4 linked regions of the Macaca fascicularis genome follow. The protein of the gene in region 3 purifies or fractionates together with the protein of the main gene of each other region. This does not show direct contact. Links are inferred from orthologs where the notes say so. Each region holds a gene or a part of one and is shown on either strand. Other genes may lie near its edges.

Evidence for each region.
Region 1: the proteins of DHX9 (region 3) and NXF1 purify together in Homo sapiens (co-immunoprecipitation; 4 studies listed by BioGRID and IntAct, with this or other methods). This does not show direct contact. The link is inferred for Macaca fascicularis from reciprocal best matches to the Homo sapiens genes DHX9 and NXF1.
Region 2: the proteins of DHX9 (region 3) and HNRNPA0 purify together in Homo sapiens (affinity purification with mass spectrometry; 3 studies listed by BioGRID and IntAct, with this or other methods). This does not show direct contact. The link is inferred for Macaca fascicularis from reciprocal best matches to the Homo sapiens genes DHX9 and HNRNPA0.
Region 4: the proteins of DHX9 (region 3) and ELAVL1 purify together in Homo sapiens (affinity purification with mass spectrometry; 3 studies listed by BioGRID and IntAct, with this or other methods). This does not show direct contact. The link is inferred for Macaca fascicularis from reciprocal best matches to the Homo sapiens genes DHX9 and ELAVL1.

What each region holds. Positions count from the first base shown.
Region 1 is NC_088388.1:11,243,488-11,249,384, reverse strand, and holds the start of NXF1 (nuclear RNA export factor 1), read right to left. Parts: upstream 3,539-5,897; 5' UTR 3,452-3,538; coding exon 3,424-3,451; intron 2,081-3,423; coding exon 1,894-2,080; intron 1,674-1,893; coding exon 1,520-1,673; intron 1-1,519. Other genes in the region: STX5 (syntaxin-5), read right to left, coding at 5,563-5,722.
Region 2 is NC_088380.1:144,232,745-144,238,901, reverse strand, and holds HNRNPA0 (heterogeneous nuclear ribonucleoprotein A0), read left to right. Parts: upstream 1-2,619; 5' UTR 2,620-2,913; coding exon 2,914-3,825; 3' UTR 3,826-5,401; downstream 5,402-6,157. UniProt on the Homo sapiens protein: mRNA-binding component of ribonucleosomes. Specifically binds AU-rich element (ARE)-containing mRNAs. Involved in post-transcriptional regulation of cytokines mRNAs.
Region 3 is NC_088375.1:40,419,528-40,423,788, forward strand, and holds the end of DHX9 (ATP-dependent RNA helicase A), read left to right. Parts: intron 1-134; coding exon 135-335; intron 336-1,975; coding exon 1,976-2,342; 3' UTR 2,343-2,659; downstream 2,660-4,261. UniProt on the Homo sapiens protein: Multifunctional ATP-dependent nucleic acid helicase that unwinds DNA and RNA in a 3' to 5' direction and that plays important roles in many processes, such as DNA replication, transcriptional activation, post-transcriptional RNA regulation, mRNA translation and RNA-mediated gene silencing.
Region 4 is NC_088393.1:8,721,590-8,727,649, reverse strand, and holds the start of ELAVL1 (ELAV-like protein 1), read left to right. Parts: upstream 1-2,522; 5' UTR 2,523-2,669; intron 2,670-6,060. UniProt on the Homo sapiens protein: RNA-binding protein that binds to the 3'-UTR region of mRNAs and increases their stability.

The DNA.
Region 1 (5,897 bases), on a different chromosome or scaffold from region 3:
GCGGTGGCTCACGCCTGTAATCCCAGCACTTTGGAAGGCCGAGGCGGGCGGATCACAAGGTCAGCAGATCGAGACCATGGTGAAACCCCGTCTCTACTAAAAATAGAAAAAATTAGCCGGGCGCAGTGGCGGGCGCCTGTAGTCCCAGCTACTCGGGAGGCTGAGGCCGGAGAATGGCGTGAACCCGGGAGGCGGAGCTTGCAGTGAGCCGAGATTGCGCCACTGCACTCCAGCCTGGGCGACAGAGCGAGACTCCGTCTCAAAAAAAAAAAAAAAAAATCAATTTTTTTTATTCTAAAAGTTTCAAGATATTATTTACACCTTGCCTGTCCCTCAGAGAACTTCATGGACTCCAAGCCCCATACTCAGCCTGAGCCAAATGAAGACATCCAGAGGAATTACTCCTTCCACAACCACAGTTTTCATATTTCTCTTCCACCCCTTCTCTGAACCTGCTCTAAGGTGTTGGAAGATACTGATTCCTAGGAGAAGAGACAGATACTTGACTATGGCGTAATCAGCTAACAAGAATAATTTTTGGGCTGGGCGCGCTGGCTCATGCCTATAATCCCAGCACTTTGGGAGGCCAAGGCGGGCGGATCACGAAGTCAGCAGTTCAAGACCAGCCTGGCCAATACAGTGAAACCTTGTCTCTACTAAAAATACAAAAATTAGCTGAGCGTGGTGGTGGGTGTCTGTAGTCCCAGCTACTCAGGAGGCTGAGGCAGAAGAATCACTTGAACCCAGGAGGCGGAGGATGCAGTGAGCCGAGATCACGCCACCGCACTCCAGCCTGGATGACAGAGCAAGATTCCATTTAAAAAAAAAAAAAAAAGCCGGGCGCGGTGGCTCAAGCCTGTAATCCCAGCACTTTGGGAGGCCGACGGGTGGATCAAAAGGTCAGGAGATCGAGACCATCCTGGCTAACACGGTGAAACCCCGTCTCTACTAAAAAACACAAAAAACTAGCCGGGCGAGGTGGCGGGCACCTGTAGTCCCAGCTACTCGGGAGGCTGAGGCAGGAGAATGGCATGAACCCGGGAGGCGGAGCTTGCAGTGAGCTGAGATCCGGCCACTGCACTCCAGCCTGGGTGACAGAGCGAGACCCCGTCTCAAAAAAAAAAAAAAAAAAAAGGCCGGGCGCGGTGGCTCAAGCCTGTAATCCCAGCACTTTGGGAGGCCGAGACGGGCGGATCACGAGGTCAGGAGATCCAGACCATCCTGGCTAACCCGGTGAAACCCTGTCTCTACTAAAAAATAAAAAAACTAGCCGGGCGTGGTGGCAGGTGCCTGTAGTCCCAGCTACTCGGGAGGCTGAGGCAGGAGAATGGCGTGAACCCGGGAGGCGGAGCTTGCAGTGAGCTGAGATCCGGCCACTGCATTCCAGCCTAGGCGACAGAGCGAGACTCCGTCTCGAAAAAAAAAAAAAGAATAATTTTTGTGGAATAAAATTAAACATCTCCACTCTGAGCGTGGCCTCCGATCTCTACTGTACCATCTACTTTCTCAAAGTACTCACTGTAATCTTGAACCAGTTCTTTGAGGTCCCATCCTGGCTGGTGCCAGCCCCTCCTCTCTCTGGAGGAGCTCTGTCTCTCCGCACAGTAACATGAATGCGATCTCGATCATGCCAAGTATCACCCCGACGGTTAGGTCGGGTGGTATAGGGGTTGCTGTGGGTAAACAGAGAATAAAATGACCACAAATGCTAGGAAAGTCTTCTCAAAGACCTTCCTGCACTGTGTTGGCGGGACTAAACTAAGACTGTTCAATCGCTAAGCTAGTCCTGGCATTTCTCACTATAACAGGTGGGAAGGAAAATGACATGGACAGTAAAAGGGCCATATAATCTCATGAGCCACTAAATTCAAACCAGACCAACTGGTCACTTACTATCGTACTCGGGGACCATCCTGGGCATCACTCATTGCCACATCTCCATCATCTTCCTCCAGGCGGGAAGACCGAATACCAGAACCGCCTCTTCCAGACCTACGGTTTCCTTCACCATATTTCCACCGGAAGGGACCCCGGCCTTTTTTCTTTCTTTGAGGGAAATTAACGCGTTCATCATCGTGTTCTGGAGTTAGAAACAGGAACACAAATTAGAAGTAACTGGTCCGGCTTGGTGTGGCAATCATAGTTTCTACTCTGAACTACTGGAAGAGATACATACTAACTACACAGGCCATCTCCATGCAAACTCCGCTGCCTGTCCACAGGAAAGAACTCTCTCTGTGGGAGGTCAGCATCAAGGAAAAGTTATTGGAAATCTGTGCAGGGCTTTTGAAAAATGAAGTAGAAACTGGAATTAGAAGCAGAATGTATAAATGTGAGACCCAAAAGTGTAAGTGAACACAAATCAGACCTCTGAAAGCCACCTGAAATCTGCCACTCAATACTTTGTCTATACAGTACAGATGCCAGTTACAAATATGATCAGTTTAAGGATCCTCTAAAAATTCTCCTTGTTCTCAAATTGCCACTTTGAAGTTTTCTGAGGAGCTCTTCGATTCCTTGGCCAGAAATGCCCTTTAACTCAGGAGACAATTTCTAGACTCAGGCTCTAGTGGTAGTGCCAGGCTAGGGTGCTTAACCAGGGACCCTGGAATGCTCTCCAGGAATATGATCTGATTCATGCTGTGCAGGACTAGCGTCTTAAAAAGGGTCCCTAACTCCCAAAAGAGATCTGCCTAATACCGAGCACTCTGTAAACAATGAATCTCAACAAATGACCCTAGGAAAAAAGAACACAGAAGGCGCAGCTAACATTCATTGAGAACTGTTCTCCAGTACCGGCCACTATGCTTCAGGCACTTGATAGGAATGATCTCATTTTCCCCCCTACTTCCCCCCCAACTCTTAAGAAATACTGTTGTTATTCCACTTTAAAGGGGTGGAAGAGGAGAGTTTTAAATTCACGGTTTCAACCTCCACCATGCACTCCTAACTACTACAAAGAACTAACACCCAGTGTAGTGTTCAGACTGGAACATCCAGTTGATGTGTAAGTCTCGAATATTAAGCCAAAGCCCAGGCCCGAGGGTTCAAGACCGACTGGACGCAGTAAAAAATAGGGCACCAGGGCAGCCCATGAGTAGGGCACTAACTCACATTAAAGGAAGAGTCAGGCCGCCAAACCGAACTGACAGGCATCAACCACCCACAAAGTTCAAAGGAATCCCGTCCCCCTACCCCCGAGCCACCCGCTCCGAGCCGCAGGTCCCCCAACACCAGGATTCCAGGAGGAATCCAGGAGTCAACAACTCTGTAATCCACCTCGAGTGCCCCCGACCCCCCGCGCGCCGCTCCCCGCGGACGCCGGGCCCCTGGCGGCCTCACGCCCCGGAGGCTGAGGCCTAGGCCGGCGCCGCCCACCCGCGCCCCAGATAGCCGGTTCCCGACCCGAGGACCAGCACTGACCGCTGTACGACTTCCCCTCGTCCGCCATGCCACAGCGAAGAGCAAGGGCGGGCTCAAGCGCTGGCCGCTACGCCGGCAAACGACCGAACGCCCAAGCACTCAGGACCGAAGTGTCCCTACGCCGGGCGCCACCGCATTTATATAGCAAAGCACGTCGCGCGCCGCTGACGTCCCAGGCTGGAGGCAGTGTCGCCGCCCGGAGAAAGCGCGACCCCCTGCGCGTGCGCACACTTAAGGCCGTCGTGCGAGGGGCGGGGCCTGACCCTCCGCGCCCCGCCCAAGACCTGAGCTTGCGGAACCCCGGCTGGTAGCCAGCAGGTCCCCGCATGTTTTCATCTGTCCGCTGACGCTGCCCTGGCAGCTTGAGTTAGTGCTAGAGCAGAGTGCTGCCGCTGCAGCCCAGAACTCAGCGGGGAACGGGGCCGTACCAAGGGCTTCCGAGGAATGGAGACCGCGCCTCCGGGTGGGAGTGATGGCTCAGACCCCTACCCGCATCTAGCCAGTGTTTCAGCTCGGCTCCTTGTCTATGCCTCGCTTTCTTCGCCTATAAGATGGATTAACAAATCACGAAGTTGAGAATTAGAATGTGAGCTCGAACGTTGACTAAAGGCTTTTTTTTCCTCGAGGGCTTGACTCGGCAGGTACTATGCCTGGCACATAGTAAAAATTCAACATGTATTTGTGAAATAAATGAATTTCTATTCTGTGAATTTCCCCCACCCCACCCTGAGTTGCTGAGTCAAATGAGACGACATCTGTCAGGGGTTTGCCGAGCATTGTCTTCACAGACCATCAATGGCGTCCCCTGTTAGAAACCCATCGTGTCAACGGGGCAGACAGTGAAGCTCACCAGCAGTGGCAACTTGCTGGAGATGCCGAGGAGGAGGACATTTTAAAATATCAGGGCCTTGGGCTCTCCTAGACCCCCAAAAGCACCACCATCAGCCCCTGATTGATTGTTGTCTCTATAGCTTCAGCTTCCTTTGGAATGTATGAGACAGGGGCACTGGAGCGTCCTCAGAATGTGGTTGCGAGTCTTGGTCAGGAAGAACAAAGCACATTAATCTCTCTGGACGGTGGGTATTTTGGGCAGGTGTCTCCTCCATTCTCTGTGACTGGCTTTGATTTGGTGAAGTGCTTTGAGGGAATCAAAAGCCTCAACTGGAGTTGGGAACAAATTCTTCACCTTCCACTCCTGGCAGCAGGCAGAGCTTCTGCCTTGCTTAGCTCAAGGAAGAATTACGGCCAAATAGTTGGAGGATACAGATGAAACAGGTCCAAACACTGTTTGAGATGGTCTTGGAAGCTGCCACCAATCAGGGACCCCCTCTGGGATCCTGCTTCTGTGTGAAAGGAAGTTTCCACGCTAATCAAGTGTTGCAACACTTGGTTCTCCCCTGTCTAGAGGCAGCTGTGTGTCAGAGCCCAAAATAGCCTGCCTCAGCAGTGATACCTGGCACAGCCATTAGCCCAACCCTTTCAGTTCTGGTACTGGGCAGTGGGCTCACTCCACTCGCTGCCTAGGCCCTTCGACGCTCCCACCCAGAAATGATGACATGGCTAGTGAGGCTGACAGTCTTGCTGTAATTAGGAGAAAACGGGCTGCAGCACATTTGGCAGATTGAGAGTCACCAGCAGCCAATGTCAGGGGTTGTGCAGGCAGCTGAAGGGCTCAGGGTTCCCTGCCCCACATGGTGAAAGAGGAAGAAAGAGGTCAATTGGGAAAATTGGTCCCTGGGGCTGCTTCCTCTCTTCACTCACAGGAAGGTGGGGAAAGGCATCATCTCCCTTTGCTGCCAACGTTTCCTTTGGGAGAGGCTGGAGAGGGTTTATAAAAGTCTCCTAGTGGAGACAACCTACCCCACTGGCCCCCAGCTGGCCTCTGTTCCCTTCCAGTCACTTCACACACAGAGTCCAAATCTAGAACCCTGTGTGTTTCATAGGCCTGAGGGTGGTGGGGGGAGGACAGGGTGGCCAGAGGCAAGGGGTGGGGGGTCAGGGGCAGTGGCCATTCTTTGCAGTTCCAGGGAAACAGGGCCTTTCTCCCAAGCACCCTGCATAGGCTCAGTGGCAGCACTGGCCACTTGCCTTCCTAGGAGGGTCCCAAACCCCAACGGAGTGCCTCAGAGTGGAGAGGGTTCAAGCAAGGAAGACCACAAAGATGATGAAGAAGACAATGAGGATGAGGAAGATTTTGACCATGAGCCACCGGTTGGAGGTGACTGACTGGAAGTACTTGAGGATCTCTGAATGGGCGGCCTCAACGTCCAGCTGGGCTCCCAGCACGTTCTCGTCGATCCTGGGGACAAGGCCGGGAGAAGAGGAAACAAAAGGACACTGGATTAAAAAGAATGCTGCTGAAGTCTATTTATTGACATGGAAAGATGGTCACAATATGATCCCATTCTTATATACATATATTTGTGTATAGAAAAAGTTTTGGAAGGATACTATAAAGTTATTTCTGGCTTGAA
Region 2 (6,157 bases), on a different chromosome or scaffold from region 3:
TTCCCATTTTAAGATAATAAAACTGATTACATTTTTAAAAAGGTTAAGTAACTTGCCCAAAGTCACATAACTGGATGGTTACAGGGTGATAGACCAGACGAGTTTACCCTCAAACTTTAGTCCATCTATTTACCTTTGTTACAATATCCCCCTAACTACTTAACCTAAGATTCAACACATTCCATAGTATCATTTCATAGTATCAAAGACCCTCAACCTGTCTTACCTCTTACTGTTTTCTATCTAAAACTGCCTGCTCCTCTCAAACTAACTGGTCCACTCCCTGTCTCTTGAAGCTTATGTTCCCTCTGGATTTTGCTCAAGTAAACTCCATATAGAAATCTTTTTTTTTTTCCTTTCCAATTTTTAATTTTAGGTTCAAGGGATACGTGTGGAGGTTTGTTATGTGGGTAAATTGTCTTGGGGGTTTGGTGTATAGATAATTTTGTCACCCAAGTCACCGGCATAATACCTCATAGGTAGTTTTTCAGTCCTCACCCTCCTCCCACCCGCCATCCTTAAAAAAGACCTAATGTTCCCTTCTTTTGTGTCCATAGGTACTCAATGTGTAGCTCCCACTTATAAGTGAGAACTTGTGGTATTTGGTTTTCTGTTCCAGCCTTAATTTGTTTAGGATACTAACTAGTCTTTGGCTCTGAGGTTCAGTGCAACTTCCAATTCTTTCCTAAATCTTTCCTGAATACTTGAGGATACGGTGAGGAATTCCTCTTAACTTCTTCAGTATTTACCATATAGTTTTGGAGGCTTTTGGTCACGTAATGCCTCATATTAACTATGTCCCACCCCATGTATCTTGCTTGGCACACAAAGGCTCAATAAATGGAAGCCGTTGTAATTTTCTTCCATTCCCATCTGAGTGAGGGCACTAAAAGCAGTGACTTAGGGCTATATGATCTCTCTTTCTCTCTGTAAAACTTCGTCTAACCAACACCTTTAAAAAGCTAACATTCTACTTTTAGGAGGCCGAGGCGGGAGGATCACTAGGTCACGAGTTTGAGACCAGTCCGGCCAACATGTTCACCTTGTCTCTACTAAAAAATACACACATTAGTCAGACGTGGTGGTGCGTGCCTGTAGTCCCAGCTACTCGGGAGGCTGAGGCAGGAGAATCGCTTGAACCTGGGAGGCAGAGGTTGCAGTAAACCAAGATCGTGCCGTAGCACTCCAGCTTGGGCGAGACTCCGTCTCAAAAAAACAAAAAACAAAACAAAACACAAAAAACAAGCAAAGCTAACATTCTAGGCCAGGCGCGGTGGCTAACGCCTGTAACCCAGCACTTTGGGAGGTCGAGGCAGATGGATCACCTGGTCAGGAGTTCCAGACCAGCCTGACCAACATGGTGAAACCCCATCTCTACTAAAATACAAAAATCAGCCGGGCATGGTGGTGGGCGCCTGTAATCTCAGCTACTCAGGAGACTGAGGCAGGAGAACAGCTTGAACCCAGGAGGCGGAGGCTGCTGAGCCGAGATTGCCCCACTGCACTCCAGCTTCGGCAACAAAAGTGAAACTCATCTCAAAAAAAAAAAAACAAAAAAACAAAAAACTAACATTCTAGTTGAAAGAAAGCAACACATGGATGATGTAAATTACACATAAAAACCCATTCACTGAGGTTAAATGAAAATTTTGGAGTATGCCAAGGGGACCTGAAAGGGCCTCCTTCTGAGAGGGCGTCGTGGGAGGGCTTCAAGGATGGCGGGAGGGTGGCAGGGATGTCGCGCCTCGTCTGGTTCGTAATGTCTGAAGCTCTTTGGTTCCGTTGTCTTTCACACCGCCGCCTCGGGCTCGCTTTTGCGCAGGGCCACGTGGCAAAGTTTTAGTTTAACCGCATGTCAGCCCACCGTAAACGGTTAATAACCGCCTTCGTGGACCAGGCCTCTGCCCTCCATCTTTGTGCGGGCGGGAGGTGGGGCGGGGACGCCAGGTGTAGCGGACAAGCGGAAAGGCGGCGGGTAGATCCGGGCCCCCAACCCCAACGTCAAGTTTTCAAAAAGCCCGCGCGTGGCGCCCCAGGCCGCATCCGCTGGGAATGGCCCCCAGCGCGCCTCCTGCTCTCTCCCCTGCAAAGCCCTGGGCTGCAGAAGGCGAGGGGGTGGCAGACAGGCTCTGCATGCTGGGGGCGCCGGGGCAAGCGCGCACCGGGGAGCGCGCCCGTCCAACAGCTGCCGAAAACGGAAGTGGGTGCGAGGGGATCACGGTGATTGGCTGAACTGACATGTCTCTCAAGGGGCTGGCGCGAACGCCACTGCGGAGTTGGGCGCGGAGATGAGGAAAGGGGAGGGGGAGAAACACTGGGAACAGCCGCAGTGCTAGGAGGAAATGAATCGCGGCGGTGCGCGGAGGGCAGGGAGGGACCCATGTCAAGTGACAATAGGGCGCTCGGGAATGAGAGCGGGCTGGCAGAAGGGGAGGCGGGAGCGGCACAGGCCGCGGGCTTGAATAGACCGCGGAGGGCGGGGAGTCCGTGATCTAGAGCGGCGCTGCGGCGCGGTAGGCGGGATTAAGGGGAGCGAGGCGGGGATTGGAGGGCAGCCCTAGGCTGCCGTACGTCGGCGGTGACGCACGCCTCGGGGAGGGTGCGCGCGCGTTCAGCGGCCTCTTTGTGTGGTGCCCAGATAGGGGAGCGGAGGTGGCGGCGGCGGTAGCGGTGGCCTTGGTTGTCTTCCAGTCTCCTCGGCTCGCCCTTTCGCCGGCACCGCTCCCCTTCCCTCCCCCTTCCTTTCTTCCTTCCTTCCCTCCCCTTCCCTTTTTCCCTTCCCTGTCGGTGACCGGCGGGGGTGGCTCCAGCAGCGGCTGGGCCCAAGCTGTGTAGAGGCCTTAACCAACGATAACGGCGGCGACGGCGAAACCTCGGAGCTCGCAGGGCGGGGGCAAGGCCCGAGCCTTGGAGATGGAGAATTCCCAGTTGTGTAAGCTGTTCATCGGCGGCCTCAATGTGCAGACGAGTGAGTCGGGCCTGCGCGGCCACTTTGAGGCCTTTGGGACTCTGACGGACTGCGTGGTGGTGGTGAATCCCCAGACCAAGCGCTCCCGTTGCTTTGGCTTCGTGACCTACTCCAATGTGGAGGAGGCCGACGCCGCCATGGCCGCCTCGCCCCATGCCGTGGACGGCAACACTGTGGAGCTGAAGCGGGCGGTGTCCCGGGAGGATTCGGCGCGGCCCGGTGCCCACGCCAAGGTTAAGAAGCTCTTTGTCGGCGGCCTTAAGGGAGACGTGGCTGAGGGCGACCTGATCGAGCACTTCTCGCAGTTTGGCACCGTGGAAAAGGCCGAGATTATTGCCGACAAGCAGTCCGGCAAGAAGCGTGGATTCGGCTTCGTGTATTTTCAGAATCACGACGCGGCAGACAAGGCCGCGGTGGTCAAGTTCCATCCGATTCAGGGCCATCGCGTGGAGGTGAAGAAGGCAGTCCCCAAGGAGGATATCTACTCCGGTGGGGGTGGAGGCGGCTCCCGATCCTCCCGGGGCGGCCGAGGCGGCCGGGGGCGCGGCGGTGGTCGAGACCAGAACGGCCTTTCCAAGGGCGGCGGCGGCGGTTACAACAGCTACGGTGGTTACGGCGGCGGCGGTGGCGGCGGCTACAATGCTTACGGAGGCGGCGGCGGCGGTTCGTCCTACGGTGGGAGCGACTACGGTAACGGCTTCGGCGGCTTCGGCAGCTACAGTCAGCATCAGTCCTCTTACGGGCCCATGAAGAGCGGCGGCGGCGGCGGAGGCAGCAGCTGGGGCGGTCGCAGTAATAGTGGACCTTACAGAGGCGGCTATGGAGGTGGGGGTGGCTATGGAGGGAGCTCCTTCTAAAAGAAAATTTAAAATGCCTGGGAGTGGCTATTGGGGTAGCTCTTTTCAAAAACCCAAGTGGGGTCAACTCCTAAGCCCCACCCCCTCACACCCACACCACCGCCTTCCCTGTTTTGCCCTTGGGGGAGCCACTTCTAAGGCTGCTTACCCTTGGGGGTGTTCCTCTATTTGCCTGCCACCTCTCTTGTCTCTCCCTCTGAAGATGGACTCGGCCCCACATACACATTTTTGTGTTACAGTCATTGATGGACTCTATTTTTTTATTATTACTTGGACCTTGGTCGTTTTTATACTAGCAAAATGTCTTGTTTTAATTTGTGTTTTTTGGGGGGAGGGAGGGAGTGAACTTGCTGATTCTGTAGCAAAACCTGGGCGGGGGTTGGGGTGGGGGGTAGTTTACTTTGTTGTAAGGACTTGATAACCTGGCTACAGCGTTTTCTATGAAATCTACTTGGATCCCATGCCTGAAATTTGGAAGCATATGTACAAAAATCATTTTTACGTTTTATTTTTAATAAATCATTGTGTTTGACCGTACATGTCTAACATTTCTTTTCTAGGATCCATTCCGTACCGTTTTTAAGGGATATTTGTTTAAGACTTTACGTGTTAATTCTTTATTCTTGATGTGTACTTAGAGAAACTTAAGAGGTCCTGTGGTCCCCCTCCCGCCCCCCGTTGCCCTGCTAGTTGCGTGTTGAATTATATCCCTTACAGGCAAAACTTTTGAAGTGGTGGATGTGGCTTTTTAAACTCTTAAGTTTCTGTGCATCCATCTCTTGTACTAAGCGATTTGCTTACCATCTTGACATGGTTGGTCATTTCTATGACAATTTACTTCAAACTGTGTACTGTGTAGTTCTATATAGTTTGTGTTAAGCATGTCATTCATATAAACTGTTTAAAATTTTTCAGATGGCCTAGTTTCATCCCTCTTACTGGTTTATCTGTAATGAATGGTTAAAAATAAGGGTTATATTTTACCCTCAGATGCGTTTTTGTACTTTCAGAGCAGGTTTAAACGGTTTTTTTCCCCCCCCTATATCTGAACTGTTGTCCTCATGGAAATCCTTTTCCCGATCTTTGTAGCACCACCTACTGGCAGAATGGCAGAGTAGCTGCGAAACAATTTGTTTAAAAACTTGCTTAGGACAATTGCATCAGATATAGAAGTTTTGCCATCAGAATTCTTTGCAGACTTGGAAGTTACACGTTTGCTTGTAACTGAGATGGGCTTCACAGGAATGTAGTTGCCAGTTCATATCACAATTGCCCTTTCTATATGAGGTTTGAAAATGTAAACTGCTATGCATAGCTTGGGCAATAGCCCTAAATTGCTATGACAACTAATGAACCAGCTACGTATACTGGTATTTTAGGTGCAAGTTGTAAAGCAAAATATCTGTGTATTCTGCTTGGTTAACAAATGTATATTTGTAGCCCTTTCATGCAATAGCATTCAAGTTGTTGTTTATAAGAGAAGAAAAAACTGATAATAGGAGAAAATTGCCTTTCTGAATAGAAATATAGAATAGCAACGTTTATGGATATCACAAATAAAGAATTCAATTCTTTACATGATTGAGTGAGAGTATGTATAACCTGGTGGGTGGGTTCAGAGTACCTTTTAATCTAGTGTGCTTAACTTGATGTTATGATAATATTTAACTTAAATATTTGACTTAAATATTGATGTTGAAGGCTCAAAGCTATACTAAGAAACTTTCTGAAAGATTATTGGGCTTTAAAATAAAATAATATTTTAATATTGAACCATTTTTTAACTTTTTGTCACTGTTCAATTCCTAAAGGTCTAGTTCTTGCCAGATTTTTTTTTTTTTTTCTGATTGACAGGGCTTTTAAAGAAGTATGAAGAAAGGTTAAGATTATTAGGCTAAGTTATGGCTGCTCAGTAGTCACTTTGACAAAGGGTAGCGGATGCTTGGTACAAATAGTGTTATATCCTCTGACAAATGGGGTGAATGTTTTTGCACATTGATGTGATTAACACATAGTCAAATCCTTTGCTCTCAAATCTACAGTTTCCATACATTTCTGTCTTTTTTTTAATTCTAGTGATATACAAATTACATGTGGGCTACTTCATTTGGTAATTTGGTCCAACTTTTTGTTGGCTGTAGAGTGGCCTCTAGGATACAGAAAATGATTCTGAGATTTTTCGTTGCAATTGTTAAATACTACTCTGCTTGACTTACTCAGTTTTGGTGGGAAGACCTGGGTCAATTGGAATAGTAGTTCACCTTTCTCAGGGTTTTCAGTTTAATAAGGTTATTGTCATTTTATATTCCCAACATGGGAATATAGTGGCTTC
Region 3 (4,261 bases):
TAAGTAGTTTTTAAAAATATTAATGCTTAAGAAGTTAAATTTATTCTTTAACTTGCCATGTGTGAGGTTGAGAGATAATGGTCTTTTTCTTCATATACTCCCTCTCTTACTTTTAATGTTTTTCGCCACTTTAGGATTAAACTGCAAATATCTCATGAAGCTGCTGCCTGTATCACCGGTCTCCGGGCAGCCATGGAGGCTCTTGTTGTTGAAGTAACCAAACAACCTGCTATCATCAGCCAGTTGGACCCTGTAAATGAACGTATGCTGAACATGATCCGTCAAATCTCTAGACCCTCAGCTGCTGGTATCAACCTTATGATTGGCAGTACACGGTGAGTACCATATTAACTTCTCATTGAACCAAGTAGAGGGGAGAGATCTTTCATAGGTCTAGAATTCCTAGAGTTAGTGATAGAAGCCTTATTAAGTAAAATTCTAGATACAGATAGTTTAGTTCCATCTAACAAACTCAGAACAAAAATGTCATTTACTTTTGTTAGTCCCTTTGTTAGTAATTGGTCTACCGCATCAGTGCGTATTGGTAGTGTTGGAAAAGGATCTTACAAATACACATACGTAGTTCAGAGTAGGTCACATGACAGGGAAGTGACACAGCCCAGATAGCCCTTTTTCCATGGTACTGTTTTGGCATCTCTAAAGAAAAAATATTGATGAGATGTTAAATTGCTTCTTTATCCAATGTGTATGTGTTTTTGTTTATCTTAAACAACTAAGAGCATGGACATCTTAAAGCAAAGAAATGAGAAATTTATCTTAATTCTTAAAATTTTTATTTGCTTCAGGTTTTAAAATTTTTTCCTTTGCCCATGAGTTTTTATTTACAAATACTTGATACTTGCCAAAAAGGCAGAAAAGTGATACAATGTTTAGCCATATAGTCTTTGTTTAGATTCACTAATTTTCAGCGTTTTGTACATTTCCTTAATCATTTGTGATGAAGTAGTAGGCACTACCACATTTTACATCAATACACTTCATATCTTTTAAGAACATGGTCACAATACCACCCCAAAACCTTAAGTGTTTTAGTAATACTATAATATGCTATTGTACTAAAATCCTTCCAGTTATCCAAAAATGACCTCTAATTCCTCATCAAAAATGACTTACTGCATTTGGTCTGTCTATAAAATGGGTAGATGGTTATCCTCATTCTCTTTAATATAAATAAGGAAACCGGGCACAGATAAGACTCAAGGTCATACAACTAATAACTGATAGAACCAGATTCAAACCCAGGCAACATGCCTCCTGAAACAGTGTTCTTACTAGGCTTTACTGTGGCCCTCCTAGGTGCTTAAATGTATAGGATAATTCAGTAAGCATCATAGGCAGATAACAAATTAAGTATTCATGGGTGTTTAGGAGAAGAGAGATTATTTTTGGTAGGAGGGCTGGTAAGCAAGGAACCTTTGTATATATAATCTGTTTCTATGAGGGATAGTAGTCCAGAAACTAGAAAGAAAGGGATATACGTAAGAGAGTTTAGGATGTATGAATATGTGGTGGCCTAAATTACAGTAGTAGATAGAATTTTTCAAAATTAGATATACATTTTTCAAAATCGTATTTCAGAATTATTGCAGGAAAACTTTTAGTGATAAAGACCAAATAGTTTATTGGCAGCTCCAGGAACCCTCTCCTAATGCTTGCCTTCTTGGAACACTATGTTGTTGACCTGAGTAAGAGCACTTCTTAAAGTTGTAATGACATACTGCCAAAATTCAAAACCTTTGAGATTGAACCAGAAAGAACTTCAGAAAAACAGATGGATATAATTGATGACTGTTTTAGAATAGCAGATCAATTTTGTTTCAATTTCGATTTGTGCGTTTGGCTTCATTCCCTTTATGTATTAAATTTTCAAATATAACTAACTGTGTGCATTTGGTGAGTGGTTGGGAAATAATAAGAATGCTTTGCTGAAGTGATGGTTTTGTGCTTTTCCTAGGTATGGAGATGGTCCACGTCCTCCCAAGATGGCCCGATACGACAATGGAAGCGGATATAGAAGGGGAGGTTCTAGTTACAGCGGTGGAGGCTATGGCGGTGGCTATACCAGTGGAGGCTATGGTGGCGGAGGCTATGGTAGCGGAGGCTATGGTGGCAGCCCCAACTCCTTTCGGGCAGGATATGGTGCAGGTGTTGGTGGAGGCTATAGAGGAGTTTCCCGAGGTGGCTTTAGAGGCAACTCTGGAGGAGACTACAGAGGGCCTAGTGGAGGCTACAGAGGATCTGGGGGATTCCAGCGAGGAGGTGGTAGGGGGGCCTATGGAGGTGGCTACTTTGGACAGGGGAGAGGAGGTGGTGGCTATTAAATCTTGGTTATGTCAGTTCCTGTGTGTAGACAGTAAGGAAAAAAAGGCATGCTATGTGTTACGTGTTTTTTCCAATATGTTTATTTGCCACCAAAAAGTAAATGCATTTTCACCCATTCTGTGGTTCATTGTAGTTTAAGGAAACCAAGCATATAGATGCATTAGTGATTTTGTTTATATTATGTAAAATATAACGATCTATCTTAAAAATACCACAGTTTGTATTTTTTCTTTAAGGAGTAAAGATTTGCCTTTAAATAACTTGGTATTTTCCTGGCTTTCGTTTAATACAGTAGAAAATAAAGTATTACACCGAATACTTGCCGTGTAGTTTGTTGACCTTATATATTAGAAAATTTTATAATGCCAGTTACATCTGTTCATTTTAAATGTCAGAGAAGTTGTACCATGTTTCAAAAGTATACTAAGTGATACTACTTGTAATAGAAAAATCACCTTGGAATTGTTACCTTTTGAAGTAAATACTGGCAAGTGTACAAGCCACATAAACCTGAATAAAACTTTTGACCTAGGGCTGAACATTTGGCTTCCTCCCATATTCTGTCTTTGAATAAGACCAAGGCCAGCATTTTCTTTTCTAAGTGAGTTTCTACTGTGACAATTAAAAGCAATATAATCACTCCGTTAGAACTCTTAAGCCACTTTAATAGACATGTTCATACATTTATAACACTTTACAGTTTCCAGTGAATTTGCAGATTTCTCATTTGAGCAATGGGAGAGGGCAAAGGTATTGGATTAGACAGAACTGGGTCTGTCTTAATTCTTTTCTCCACCATGTGGATGATCTTGGGCAAGTCATATTTTTGTCTTGGTTTCCTTTTCAAAGTCCTTTATCCTGCATATATGTTGTAGATCACCTTCAGCAGTTAAGCTGATGGCACATATTTACAGACACACAAGTCTATCTCCAACCTTGATTTCCTTTCTGAGCCATGTAAGCAGCTGCATACTGAACATGTATCTCTGCTTAAATATCCCACAGAAAAAAATCTCAGTGCTTTCCAAACTGACCTCCTTCCCCTCCCAACCTACCCTATGTCCTGACAGTACTGTGTTCTCTGCTCCGTTTTCTTTGGAGTTTTCAGCTGCTTAATTGCTTAAGCCACCACCTCTAGTCAGCTCAAAACATCTTTCAATATACTTTTATAGATCAGTTGCCTCTGTTCTATTCAGTCTTAGTTTGGACATACAGTGCCACAGCAACCACTTAACTGATCCTGCCTACAGGCCTGCCTCAATCTAATCTCCACTACAGCTAGAGTAAACATTCCCAAACGAATCTGATTTCATACCCTCTCTCCTGACTTAAACCAATGGTTCTTACTGCCGGCAGGGTAGAGGCTAAACTCCCTTCTTAGCCCCTGACTCCAGCTCTACCTTCATTTCTGCTGTACAGCTGTAGCTAGCCATACTGAACTAGCACCATTGATGGATCATGCTTTCTCTCCCTTTGCACGTTGTGAAAACTCCCATAAAAGGTATAGTAGCAGGACGAGCCGCAGACAAAACTCCTCTGACACCAAGTTAAAGAAGGGGTTTTTTCAGCCGGGGCATCAGCAAGACTCCTGTCTCAAGAGTCGAGCTCCCCGAGTGAGCAATTCCTGTCCCTTTTAAGGGCTCACAACTCTAGGGGTGCGTGTGAGGGGGTCATGATTGATTGAGCAAGCAGGTGGGGGCTGCATGCACTGGTAATTAGATCAGAAGAAAACAGGATAGGGATTTTCACAGTGCATTTCTATACAATGTCTGTAATCTATAGATAACCAATTAGGTCAGGGGTCAGTCTTTTAACTACTAGGCCCAGGGTGTGGCGCCAGGCTGTCTGCCTGTGGATTTCATTTCTGCCTTTTAGTTTTTACTTCTTTCTTTGGAGGCAGAAATCGGGCATAAGATGA
Region 4 (6,060 bases), on a different chromosome or scaffold from region 3:
TTGAGACTCTGTCTCCAAACAAACAAACAAACAAAACCAAGCAGGGCAACATGGTGAAACCTCATCTCTACTAAAAATACAAAAATTAGGCTGTAATTCTGGCACTTTGGGAGGGCGAGGCAGGCAGATCACCTAACATCAGGAGTTCGAGACCGGCCTGACCAACAAGGTAAAACCCCATCTCTACCAAAAATACAAAAATTAGCTGGGCGTGGTGGCGCACGCCTGTAATCCCAGCTACTCGGGGAGGCTGAGGCAGAAGAATCACTTTGAACCTGGGAAGCAGAAGTTGCAGTGAGCTGAGATGCTGCCACTACACTCCAGCTTGGGTGAGACAGACAGACAGAGATTCGTCTCAAAAAAAAAAAAAAAAAAAAAATAGCGGGGTGTGGTCACGGGTGCCTGTGATCCCAGTTACTTGGGAGGGAGGCTGAGGCAGGAGAATTGCTTGAACCCGGGAGGGGAAGGTTGAAATGAGCCGAGATCCCACCACTGCATTCCAGGCTGGGCAACAGAGTGAGACTCTGTTTCCAAAAAAAAAAAAGCATGCAGGAAAGAAAAAGGACACACAAAGTATCTTGTATTTTGGAAAGATAATAGATACAAAATATCCTGTATTTTAAAATATTGACTACATGTTTAAATAATAACATATTCAACATACTGAGTTAAATAAAACACATTACAATTAACATCACCTGTTTCTTTTTACTTATTTTTAAATATGGCTAACAATTTAATTAATTTAAATTACATACCTCGCTGACAAATCTGTGGCTTGCTTATACTTCTTTTTTTTTTTTTTGAGATGGAATTTCCCTCTTTCACCTAGGCTGGAGTGCAGAGGCAGGATCTTGGCTCACTGCAACCTCTGCCTTCCAGTTTCAAGCGATTCTCCTGCCTCAGCCTCCCGATTAGCTGGGATTACGGATACCCGCCACCACGCCCAGCTAATTTTTGTATTTTTAGTAGAGATGGGGGTTTACCATGTTGGCCAGGCTGGTCTTGAACTCCTGACCTCGTGATCTGCCTCCCAAAGTGCTGGGATTACAGGCATGAGCCACTGTGCCTGGCCTCCTTTGCTTATATTTCTATTGCACCGTGATGATCCAGAATGCTAGCTACCATAAAATATAACAATTAAATGTTAAATTTAACATTTAATTGAGCTAGGTGTGGTGGCACATGCCTATAATCCCAGCTACTTGGGAGCCTGAGGCAGGAGGACTGCTTGAGGTCAGGAGTTAAACCTGTGGGATGATTGCACCTGTGAACACCCACTGTACTCCAGCCTGGGCAACACAGTGAGACCCAATCTGTAAAAAGCTTTTCTAGGCCAGATGGTGGCTCACGCCTGTAATCCCAGCACTTTGGGAGGCCGAGGTGGGCGGATCAGGAGGTCAAGAGAGAGAGACCATCCTGGCCAACACCGTGAAACCCCGTCACTCTAAAAATACAAAAATTAGCTGGTTGTGGTGGCACGCGCCTGTAGTCCCTGCTACTCAGGAGGCTGAGGCAGGAGAATCGCTTGAACCCGGGAAGCGGAGGTTGCAGTGAGCCGAGATCACGCCACTGCACTCCAGCCTGGTGACTCAGCAAGACTCCTTCTCAAATAAATAAATAAAAATAAAAAGATTATTATTTTCAGATCACACACACACAAAAAAAAGAAAAACAAAATTAGGCAGAGTGCAAGCATGCCTGTAATCCCAGCTCTTTGTGAGGCGGACGCAGGAGAATCACTTGAGTCCAGGAGTTCCAGACCAGCCTGGGCAACAGAGCCAGAGCCCATCTTTATTTAAAAAATTAAAGCATAAAAAAATTAAACATGTAGGTTGTATGTATTTCTACTAGGGCATTCTAGGTCAGCGCTGGCTTAGAATGTTAGCCCAATAAGACCAGGTATTTTTTTTCTGCTCACTGCCCATACAGTGACTGACACACAGTAGGCGCTCAATGACATTTTAATGAATGAATGAGAGGCTGAGCCTTCGGGAACTGGCTTGCTCAAAGAGCCAGCACCGATGGTGCTCTGACCACGTTCCATGCCCCGCCTCCTCAGCGCACCAGAAAAGGAAACTGAGGCCCGGCAAGGTGACGTCAGCTCCTGCCCAACCGCACTACGTGAGGAAACGTCGGGGCCGGGATTCGAACCTAGGTTTTGTACGCGTAACCCCGGCGCGCTGACCGTTCCTACCTTACTGGGCGGCGGCGGCAGGTCACACAGGTGCGGGACATACGGCGAGCGCTCAACCAGAGGCGCCGCTCCTCAGCCACCTCCTTCCGTCAGCCTCCGAGGTCGGGAACCCAGTCCGCCCCCTCCGCGGCCATCGCTGGCTGCCCGCGTCTCCGCCGGCCGCGGAGCCCTTCGCAGGCGGCGCCGACCGGAAGTCCCGCCTCTCCCGCGCGCCCCGGGGTGCCGCGACAGCCACGACGGCCAATGAGCAGCGCGACGTGGCGGACGCCGACCAATGGGCGCGCGCGCCGGGGGGGCGTGTCCGGTCCGCGGGCCGGAGCGGGTCGTGCGCGCTGAGGAGGAGCCGCTGCCGCCGTCGCCGTCGCCGCCACCGCCGCCACCGCTACCGAGGCCGAGCGGAGCCGTTAGCGCCGCGCCGCCGCCGCCTCCCGCCCGCCCCGGAGCAGCCCCGGGCCCGCCCGCCCGCGTCCAGGTGAGGCGGTGGGGGGCCTTCGGCGGCGCCCGACGGGGTAGGCCGCGGCAGGCCTGAGCTCGCCTGGCCTGGCCGCGGGGCGCCCGCGGGCCTGCACCGGCCGAGGCCCAGGCCGCGCCGGACCGCGGGAGGGGACGCGCGCTGGGGCCGCGGCGGGCGGGTCGGGGCGGGCCGGTGTAGGCGCCGGCAACAGGCCCTGGGGCCGGATTCCTCTGGCGCCTCGAGGGACGGGCGAGGGGAATACGGCGTGGGCATGCGCCGGGGGGCCGGGCTGCACGGCCGGGGGCTCAGGTCGCCTTGGAAGCCCGGGCTCCGGGGGCGGGAGAGTGGGGCCAGCGGCGGGGGGAGCGCGGGGAACGCTTTGAGCGCGCAGAGGTCACGGCCCACGGGCTCGCTCCCCCGGGAAATCCCACAGATTCTTTTGTGGTCGTTGTCAGAGCACCGCGGCCGGTGCGAGGTCCTTTGAGAAGTGTGCAAACCCTTCAGTAGATACACGGGAGTCCTGGGGGGGGGGAAAAAATCTAAACTGCATCTTTTTTTGAGCGCCATCTCTAACAAAGCTGTTTGTGGGGCGTGGGACGTTAGGATTTGTAAAATATGTGTGTGTGTCTGTTGGAAACACAAACTGCACACAGTTGAACAATGGGGGATGGATGCCCTTCCTTCCTTTTCCGGTGCTCTGGGCTGCCGGGCTTGTTAAAATGGGTTTTGGTCCCTACTGTGTGCAGGGCAGGTGGGGAAGAACTTCTGCACAACTTCTGCACGGGCTTCCCGTGGTGGGACTGAGCCCCCTTGCTGGAAAGTGTTCATCTAAGATCCGGATGGCCAGAAGTGGGAAGATCAGGAGAGTGACCTGGCTAGAGAAGGGTTTCTCAACGTTAGCACTACTGATGTTCGGGGTCAGATAGTTTTTGGTTGTGGGTGGGGGCCTTCCCTGTGCAATGTAGGAAGTTGAGCCGTATTCCTGGCCTCTACCCACTAGATACCAGCAGTATCCCCATCCCCCAAGTCGTGAGGATCAACAAGATCTCCAAACATTGCCAGATGTCCCGGGTTGTGGGGGAGGGGTCTCTTCCACTCTCTCATACACGCAGGTGAGAACCATTACTGAACTAAATCCCTTCCTCCAAAAGTTCTAATGCCCTGGGAGATGCTCCCAAGACCTCGAACAAGCTTGACTCTGTTGAGCCTTAGTTTTCTTATCTGTCAAATGGGAAGGACAAAAGTGTGCAGATTGAAGGGGTTGAGAAGCCTGTTGCGTTGTGCGTGGTCTGTACCTGGTAGGCACTGAATAAATGATGTTATACATAACCACCAGTATTTATTGAGGATTTACTATGAGCTCGACACTTTGTGGACGTTTGTCTCCAGTCCTTGAGGCGGATGATGTTATAATTTCCATTAATTTCCATTTTAGAGATGAAGAAACTGAGGCTTAGATGGGTCACTTCATATGACCAGTCTCATGCACTAAAGTGGCTGCGCCAGGGTTTGAACTCTGATTCAAAACCCTTACTCTTAACCACCCGGTTGTATTGCTCCCATAATCGCAAGGCTCCAGGACACTCCACTCAGTTGTCATCAAGTATTTTCTGTGTGCAAAGTTTTGTGCTGGGATCTGTTATCAAATTCTGCAACTTCAAGGCCCACAAAGAGGTTGAGATACGTGAACGTCTCCAAATGTGGAAGGAAATAATACTGTTTATGTTGACGCATTGGTTTTGAGCAGACAGAGTTTCAGTTTGGATGTGTTGAGTCTGAGATCATGGTGCTTTTTTTTTTCTTTCTTTCTTTTTGGAGACACAGTTTCACCCTTGTAGCCCAGGCTGGAGTGCAGTTGTGCCATCTCGACTCACTGCAACCTTTGCCTCCCGAGTTCAAGCGATTCTCCTGCCTCAGCCTCCCGAGTAGCTGGGATTACAGGCGGCCGCCACAACGCACGGCTAATTTTTTGTATTTTTAATAGAGACAGGATTTCGCCTTATTGAGCAGGCTGGTCTCGAACTCCTGACCTCAGGAGATCCATCTGCCTTGGCCTCCTAAAGTCCTGGGATTACAGGCGTGAGACACCGCACCCAGCCCATGATGCTATTTCAAGTAAAAGAAATGAGAATTATGAAAAAACTGTTTATGAAAACAACAAGAAATTATGAAAATGTATTGCCTCTCTCACTCGCGGCTTCCAATCTCTTCCCCTTTCCACACTCCAGCAGGAGTTCTGTTCTGTAAATGCACATCTAATTGTGTCCCTTCTGATTTAAAATCTTTGGGCAGAAAAAAGACGTTTTCTTGACCTCTTTCGTGGCTTAAAAGATAAAGTTAGAAGCCCTTAGTTTGGAGTACCAGTTCCTTCACACCCAAACGCTCCCTGCCCCTGCATGTAGACGCCAAACTCTAACCCTCCCTGCCTGTTGCAGCCTCCACCTGGAGATAGATCTCTTCCACCTGGAGATCCGTTGCTCAGGCTCCATGGCTCAGCCCAGAGCTCACTGGCCGTTTGAAGCCTCGTCTGACTGCCACTCTTCCTCCCCCCAACCGGAATCAACTGTTCCCTCTTTAGTGTTCCCATCCCGTTCAGTTTATTGAATCGAATTCAAGGCTGAATGGCAAGAGAAGCGCAGCGCCCGACTGGCGCCCCTAGGTGGCAGTAGCGAGGCGGTGCGGCCAACCCGAGCTGTGGGTCAGGGGAAGACCGACGGAAGCCAGCCTGTGGGAGGGAAGTGAGGTTCGCTCCCGCCTCTGAACGACTCTCCCTGCTTCGCTGCTGTGTCCTGGCCCACGCTAGGCTCTGGAGAGTGTGCATGATGTGTGTAGGTCATCTCAGCCCACTCTGATGAGTGTGGTGAGAGTGATGCCCTGGCTGATGTGGAAGCCCAGAAGAGGGACCTGGATGGGCACAGGAGAGCCCAGAATGCTTCCTGGAGGAGAGGAGGCAGTAGCGGTGGGGAGGAGTTACCCAGGCAAAGACAATGGGGTGGGGCTTTGTAGGATACAGCGAAGACCGGAGGTGGAACATCGCAGTGTTCAGAGAACATCGTGTGTTCAAAGAACCACGTGGATTCTTTAGGGGCAAGAAGGATGAAGTGGGTAGTCGTGGCAGGAGTGCTCAGGTGGCCGGTGGGCAGAGGGCTTGGCTGTTACTCTGCGGCTAGGCCAGAGGGTGGCTACTGAGCAGTTTTAGTTCACTGCTCACCCTGGTGGAGAGGCTGGGGGGAGACAAGGAGAAACTAGTCATGGGCTATTGCAGTACTGAGGTGGCCCCGTAATGGCTGAACCGCTTGAGGGTCAGGACTGGGACTGCTTCTTTGTTTTGTATGCCTGATGCTATGCTCTGTGCCTGGCACGTGGTTGCTATTTTGTCTGTGCCAGGGAAAGGAAAGATTGGCAGACC